2 linked regions of the Kluyveromyces lactis genome follow. Each later gene encodes a partner of the first gene's protein in a complex. Links are inferred from orthologs where the notes say so. Each region holds a gene or a part of one and is shown in the gene's direction. Other genes may lie near its edges. The genes, in order: CET1 and CEG1.

Region 1 (3,960 bases):
CCATTTCCTTTTGCACTTTTTCAATTCCAACTAGCTCTTACGTTTCCACCTTTGCTACATAATTTATTGTATATTTACCCCACTGTTTTTACCCGCACCATGGGCACCCTCAATTATAGTCTGTTCTTTCAGAATCTGACACATCTCTCATCTGATCTTAATTCGACTTGCTTACATTGAAAACTGAATCTCAATTGACTTCTTACGAGGTACGATCGTTCATCGACGTGGGAAGCAACGCTTTTGGAAGCATGATACGTCTCAAACGATTGTGTTAGTAACCAATCCCTCCTCATTTGGGTATGTGGGATATACAAAGAATGGTTCTTATGACTATATTATTTTTGGAAGCACGTGATCATCATTTTCTTTTTCGTTCCTTATCCTTTAAAGTATGGGCAGGATTTCCTTGGAAACGAGAAATCCAACTGTTATCACAACTACAATCCAAAGGGAGGGGTAAAAGGACCAAATGGACAAAACAAAGTAAAGATATCCAGAATAACACTTTAAACAATGTCTAATACGACACCATGGCAGTATACAAGTACGGGGTCTCCGCAGACTCCAAGTGCAGTGAGTGCGAATTTATTTGGAAATAGTATGAGTCTAAGTTCAACAAGCAGTACAAGCAGTTCAAGCGTTGGGAATAATAACAAGAGTAGTATGTCATCTGGCCAGAATATTGGCATGCTGGGACCGGCTCCTGGTATGCTGAATATGAATATGAACATACCTATGGGTGTTGATTCTACGTCCAGGCTGGGATCTGGAGCAGGAACTGGAGTCGGATCTTTGATGTACAGTTTACCTCAGGAATCGCTTCTCAGTAAGAATATGAGCAAATCGTTCGAGGACGATTTATTCTTTTGTCCAAGGTCATTATTATCTAAGGAAGAGCTTTCGCAGTGCTCGCAGATAGATTTGTTGTACAACCAACACCAGCAACAAATACATCAGAACCATCATCAACAACTGCCCCTACCAGTTCCTTTACAGCAACAACAGAACCACCAGCAACAGCAACAGAGACCACGTTTCAATCCATATACTTCCCAAAGCTTCAACCCTGGTGCAGTTTGAATTCTCGGGCTCCTTTGCAGCAGCAGTTCCTCGGCTGCTGCCTGTGAGATACCCCCCACATACCGGGGATGTTGGTTTAGTCGGATGATTATATGAAATGCAAGTCATGTGACTTGAATTTCTTCTTGTTACCCGGTCCCATGGACAATCCCTGGCATGAAGTAGCACTTTTCCACAATTTATCAACGTACATCATTATAGATACCAATGCATGTATGTATTTATGTACGTGTGTTCACATGTATATGAACGTCAGTTATATACTTTATATTACCCCCCATTTAATCAAGTTAGTTTATTTCGGTTTATTCAGTGTTCAAGCTAAGTAGGTGCAAAATCAGGCTGCCAATTCAATTCACAGTTTAAAGCCAACTCCACTAATAATGAAGCCTAGCAGAGGATTGTCACTCACCGATTTGGTCAACCATGATGACGCTCCGCCCTTGAATAATGGAGATAACAATGTAAAACAAGAAGAAGTGCAAGCTGAGAATCTCGCTACAAATCCAGCTTCTGTTTTGGCTCCAGGCCCAGTCATTGTTGATACTTTACCACCAGTAGAAGCTCCTGTTAGTACTTCCGATACTGGTAATACTAGTCATACTGGAGCAGCACCTCAGACAGCAGTAACAGCTGAGAGTGATGAGACTGATACGGACGATGAACCGGGGGAAATTGTGTTTGAAAATACTAAATTTAGGTTCGATGACGAAGAACAACAACCACAGAAAGATAAACTGGTAAAGGGCACTTCTTCGGAGAAGAAGGACAAGCAAGTAAACGCCGCAACTAAGGAGATTCAGCTGGACTCAAAACCCGTCAAAGAGCAATCTCCAAAAACAAAAGATGAAGGAGATATTCCCGTAGAGGATGCGGATAAAGCTGATAATAAAGTGGAAACGCAAAAAAAGGAAAACGGGATCAAACAAGAAGTCGAACCAGTGGAACAAGATGGTAAGAAATCAGTGGAACCTGCCAAGCAATCCAAAGAGGATTCGAAAAAGGAGAAGGACATCTTTCAGCAAAAGACAAGTAATGCTTCTGTGAAGAACAACATCAAGAAGGACTTGAAGATCCTAAGTGAACTCTCTTCCTCTTCGCTACCTAAAAGATACAATGTTCCGCCTATCTGGGCAAGAAAATGGAAACCTACTGTCAAGGCTTTACAAGCCATTGATTCTTCAAATCTTAAACTTGACGACTCTATTTTAGGATTTATTCCAGAAGATGACTTGACAAAATCCGTCCAAGATTGGATTTATGCTACGTTGATTGCAGTAGAACCGGAACTAAGGCAATTCATTGAAGTGGAAATGAAATACGGTCTTATCATTGATCCATCGACCTCTAATCGTGTTAACCCTCCGGTGTCCTCTCAATGCGTTTTCACAGATCTTGACTCCACAATGAAGCCGGATGTTGATGAAAGAGTTTTTGATGAGTTCAACAGATACATAAAGAACTTATCTGAATTAAATGAAAATATGGGAAAGTTTAATATAATAGATTCTCATGCCTCAGACTTGAGCTATAGAGTAAGAACTCATACGGAAAGGCCGAAGTTTTTGAGAATGACAAGAGATGTTAACACCGGAAGAATTGCACAATTTATTGAAAAACGGAAAATTTCACAGATTTTATTGTACTCCCCAAAGGATAGTTATGATACCAAGATTTCAATCAGTTTGGAACTGCCTGTACCCGAAAATGATCCACCTGAAAAGTACAAGAACCATACTCCAACAGGTCATCGTTTAAAGAAACGTACCAGTTACATCCATAATGACTCTTGTACCAGATTTGATATCACTAGGGTGGAAAATAAACCTATTAGAGTCAATAACAAAAATGAAAAAGAACCTGAATCTGATACAACGTACGAAGTTGAACTGGAAATCAATACACCTGCCCTCTTAAATGCTTTTGATAACATTCAACATGATAGTAAAGAATATGCAGCTATCGTGAGAACCTTTTTGAATAACGGTACCATTGTAAGAAGGAAGCTTTCATCTTTATCCTATGACATTTACAAAGGTTCGAATAAGCTTTGAATCCCATAATCACCTACTATGTTACTTTCAGATATTCTATAGTTCTATCTATCTCATACCAGTATAAAAGCTTGGGTTGTACTCAATGTTTCATGAAAGTAATCTGATAGAATATATCCTTACTTGCGCTTTATCTTCGCGCAAATTCTATGAAGCTTATTTATCGCTATATATGCCTAGTATATATGCTAACCTTATGATGACTAAATCCTTGGCCATGTTAATACTGTCACGAGCCAAATCCATTTTGGAACCGTCAACTTCATGCCATGAGATCGGTAGCTCATTGATTGGAATATTTTTACGCAACGCAACGATCAAGATTTCAACGTCGAAAATCCATCCTTCAGTGTGTAACTTAGGGAAAATTTCCTTAGCAGCCTTCCTATTAAATAATTTAAAACCACATTGTGTGTCCTTGATAGATCTAATACCGAAGATGAACACCAATGCATGTAAAGAGTACATTAAGAAGTTTCTGATAATTGTTCGCTTGACAACTGCATCGGTGTTAACCATATGAGCACGTGATCCAATCGATACCTCGGGTGCATCAACCTTTGTGTTTGCCAAAAGCTTGGCAACATCAGAGAACTTCGAGGCACCGTCAGCATCAGCAAACAATAGATATTCGCCTCTGGAGTGCAACATCCCGTGTCTTACTGCTCCTCCTTTACCGCGATTCTTCTCCAATGTAACAACTCTAAATTCTCCGTCATTAAGCTTGAAGTGATTCTTAGCCAAATCCATGCAATACTCCGAAGTCCCATCACTGGAACCGTCATCGACAATAATAATCTCCCATTTACCCTTCATCTCATTT
Region 2 (3,468 bases), on another chromosome or scaffold:
ATTTACTAGTTAAAATCTTGAAATACGGTAGATCAGAAGCAACTCGCACAGCCATCTGATCTGTTTTTTCCATTTGGTAATACTTTAGTGTATATCTATCGAAAAGTTGGTTGAAGTAGAAACAATTGGGTCTTGAGACGTATTCTGTTAGCTGATCAATTGAGGTAAATTCTTTTTGAAATTTGACATTACATTTACCACGGAATGAGTAAATTGGGCAAACATCATTATGAAGTGAAGCGTATAGCATTCTGGAGCTTGTACTATTTGTTCTTTCCTGGATATCTCTGGGTCTATAGTACCAATTCATTTTTAACTGAAAATAAATCGCAGGGAAACTAGTTGCCAAGTGTAATGAACGCGATATGAGTGAACGAAACTCCTTTTTCGGCACAAACTCAACTATCCTACCAATATAGTAGGGTTCTCCAGGTGGTTCTGATACCATAAATATGTGCTCATCTTTTTTCAAGACAGCCGATCCGTCAGATAGTAGCAATTGCTTAGAAACGTCAACGGTCATCTCATCGATATCCAACATGGTACTGAACCTTGCGTATTTCTTGAATGAGTTAGGTAGAGAAGGAATGAAATTCCACGGCGTGTTCTTGTCTTGCAAGAACGACTGATACTTGAAACTACTCTTCTGTGACTTCTTTCCATTGTTCGCCTTCTTCTGAATGCCATTCTTCTTTATAGTTTCACCCTTTTCAGACTTCTGTTTCGAAGAGTTCGCCTTCTCTAATTGTTTAATCTTCTTCGCCAACGCAATGTCGGCTTCCTTCTCATTATAACTCACATTCTTGGTCGCAGTTCGCCTACGACTTGTGTACTCATTGCCATTTGAAATTATTATCTCATCTGGCGAATTTTGTCCTGAGACGACAGTCATCACTAGCCGGAAGTAAGCTGATGCAAATTGCTGTTAAATATCACAAGTGAATATCAATTCTTCAAATGCAACACTTTTGCTAGCAACTCCGGATGTATCCTGTATTCCCTTTTGCACTATTTCTCTCTTGGTATGTTGTTGCTCCTCCTCATATTGAATCCATATTCATATCCTGCATATAGCGTTTTTATATACATCTTTCGATATTGAAAATAATTGGAAAGCATTTTACAATTACTGAACCAGATGAAAATACGTAATAAGGTAAACAGCAATAGATTAAGGCAGCCTGAACTTAATGAACCAAGGCAATTGATATTGCATACGTGTGTTTTGACTGTCCTTTTTTTTGCCTAAGTTTATAACTTAATTGCCATGGACAATAACAGAGTTGCACCAGAGATTCCTGGTCTAAGACAACCCGGACAAATTACTAATGATATTCGAATGTTGATGTGTAAGCTACTCAATTCAGCGAAACCCGCTAATACCTTTCCGGGCTCTCAACCTGTTTCTTTCCATCTGGCTGATATTGAGGAGAAGTTACTTGCGCAAGACTATTACGTATGTGAAAAGACAGATGGATTGCGTGCGTTAATGTTGATAATGGTGAATCCAGTTACAAAAGAGCAAGGGTGTTTTATGATTGACCGTGAAAACAACTACTATATGGTCAATGGATTTAGATTTCCATGTTTGCCCCGTGCCAATAAAAAAGAACTCCTAGAGACTTTGCAGGACGGTACGTTAATTGATGGTGAACTTGTCATGCAAACTAATCCAGTGACCAAGTTGAAGGAACTGAGGTACTTGATGTTCGACTGCCTTGCGGTAAATGGTCGTTCGTTAGTTCAATCGCCTACAAGTTCCCGTTTGGCTCATCTTGGCAAAGAGTTTTTCAAACCTTATTACGATTTAAGATCGTATTTTCCAGATAGATGTTCCACTTTCCCATTCAAAATTTCAATGAAACATATGAATTTCAGTTATGATTTGGCAAAAGTTGCAAAGACCTTGGATTCACTTCCACACGTATCTGATGGTCTAATTTTCACTCCAGTACAAGCGGCATATCATATTGGTGGTAAAGATAGCTACCTTTTGAAATGGAAACCAGAAGTAGAAAATACTGTGGATTTCAAACTGATCATTGAACCTCCTGTAGTAGAAGACAAATCTTTACCTAAAAGCGATAAAAACAGGTTTTACTACAATTACGATGTTAAGCCACTTTTCCATTTGTACGTTTGGCAAGGTGGTAATGACGTGAACAATAGAATACAGGACTTCGAACAACCCTTTACTAAGAGTGATTTGGAGCTTTTGGAGAGAACCTATAGAAAATTTGCAGAAATAGAAATCGACGACAAACAATGGAATGAGCTCAAGGCCATGGAGGAGCCATTGAACGGAAGAATTGTAGAATGTTCCAAAGATCAGGAATCAGGTGCATGGAAACTACTTAGGTTCAGAGACGATAAACTCAATGGTAATCACGTATCAGTCGTTCAAAAAGTCTTGGAAAGTATCGGTGATTCTGTTTCATTGGATGATCTAGAACAAGTGGTAGATGAAATGAGATCTCGCTGGAAAGAACGTGAACAAGGACTGAAAAATGCACAAAAACAATTCAACCATCAGGCTTCTGCGAGATCGTCGCTGTCGCAGCAACATTCAACCGAACCAGAGCAGTCGCAAGATCAACCAAAATATGTAGACGATGACGATGATAATTGGTCTGATGACGAGCCAGACACAAAAAGACAGAAGATTTAAGAATCTTGCGTCAAGTTAAAAGCATAACATATACACGAGCATATGTGCTCATATTATATTTCTTTCCTGTATTTACATGGGTTTTTTTGTAATATATAATATGTACAATTAGAATGGATATAGTGTAATACTCTTGAGCAATTCCCTTGGATTACCATTACCACTTAAGAAGTACTTTTCTTCGGTAAGCTGTTCGAAGGTTTTGTTCTGTAAATCTTTGTCAAGTACGATACCCGCCTTTTGGTAGAACTCCATCAATTTGGCAACTTCATCTTTATTAAGTTTGGTAACTTCGAACTCCTGTACTTTACCCTTTAGTAACTTTTCGGCCAAAATTTGTTCATAGTGGTATCTGGTCAAATATGGATCGTGAGGAAGCTTTTGCAAACCAATTGATAACGTTCTATTGGTTCTATCCAAACCCGAAGTAGCCAAAACAACACAGCTGTCCTTAGCAGCGAATTGCAAATCGCCAGAGACTAAATCAAAAATAGATTGACCAACCTGGAATTTTAAAATATGAATATTTTTGTTGCTTGTGTCTTTATATGCTGTGAATGGTGTAGTCAAAAGATGGGAGAAGTTATCAACAGTGAAATAGACCGGATGATCAGTTTGGTTAGTTAATTCTTTAATGAATGCATCGAAAACGGCTCCACGGTGACGAGATGGTGCCTTGACACTTAGTAAATCGTATAACGTGGATTTACCTGCAGATAAATTCACATTTCTCTTCACAGATAGGTCTTTACCCCCAGAGTGAACTAATTTATAGTCTTTGGAGAGTTTAATGGATTGCA

The links.
Region 2: the proteins of CET1 (region 1) and CEG1 are in contact, whole or in part, in a crystal structure (PDB 3KYH), measured with the Saccharomyces cerevisiae proteins. The link is inferred for Kluyveromyces lactis from reciprocal best matches to the Saccharomyces cerevisiae genes CET1 and CEG1. Residues at the interface, in NP_015096.1 of Saccharomyces cerevisiae: Ile246, Trp247, Ala248, Gln249, Lys250, Trp251, Lys252, Pro253, Thr254, Lys256, Ala257, Ser260, Ile261; in NP_011385.3 of Saccharomyces cerevisiae: Leu262, Trp295, Val301, Arg304, His307, Phe308, Gln310, Pro311, Phe312, Asp313, Glu316, Trp337, Leu340, Lys341, Glu344, Gln345, Pro346, Leu347, Asn348, Gly349, Arg350, Asp370, Asp371, Lys372, Leu373, Asn374.

The regions. Positions count from the first base shown.
Region 1 is NC_006039.1:1,398,399-1,402,358, forward strand, and holds CET1 (polynucleotide 5'-phosphatase), read left to right. Parts: upstream 1-1,466; coding exon 1,467-3,137; downstream 3,138-3,960. Other genes in the region: KLLA0_C16027g (uncharacterized protein), read left to right, coding at 517-1,083; ALG5 (dolichyl-phosphate beta-glucosyltransferase), read right to left, coding at 3,294-3,960. UniProt on the Saccharomyces cerevisiae protein: First step of mRNA capping. Converts the 5'-triphosphate end of a nascent mRNA chain into a diphosphate end.
Region 2 is NC_006038.1:195,074-198,541, forward strand, and holds CEG1 (mRNA guanylyltransferase), read left to right. Parts: upstream 1-1,267; coding exon 1,268-2,668; downstream 2,669-3,468. Other genes in the region: DNA-binding E3 ubiquitin-protein ligase SNT2, read right to left, coding at 1-892; RSM23 (mitochondrial 37S ribosomal protein mS29), read right to left, coding at 2,777-3,468. UniProt on the Saccharomyces cerevisiae protein: Second step of mRNA capping. Transfer of the GMP moiety of GTP to the 5'-diphosphate terminus of RNA via a covalent enzyme-GMP reaction intermediate.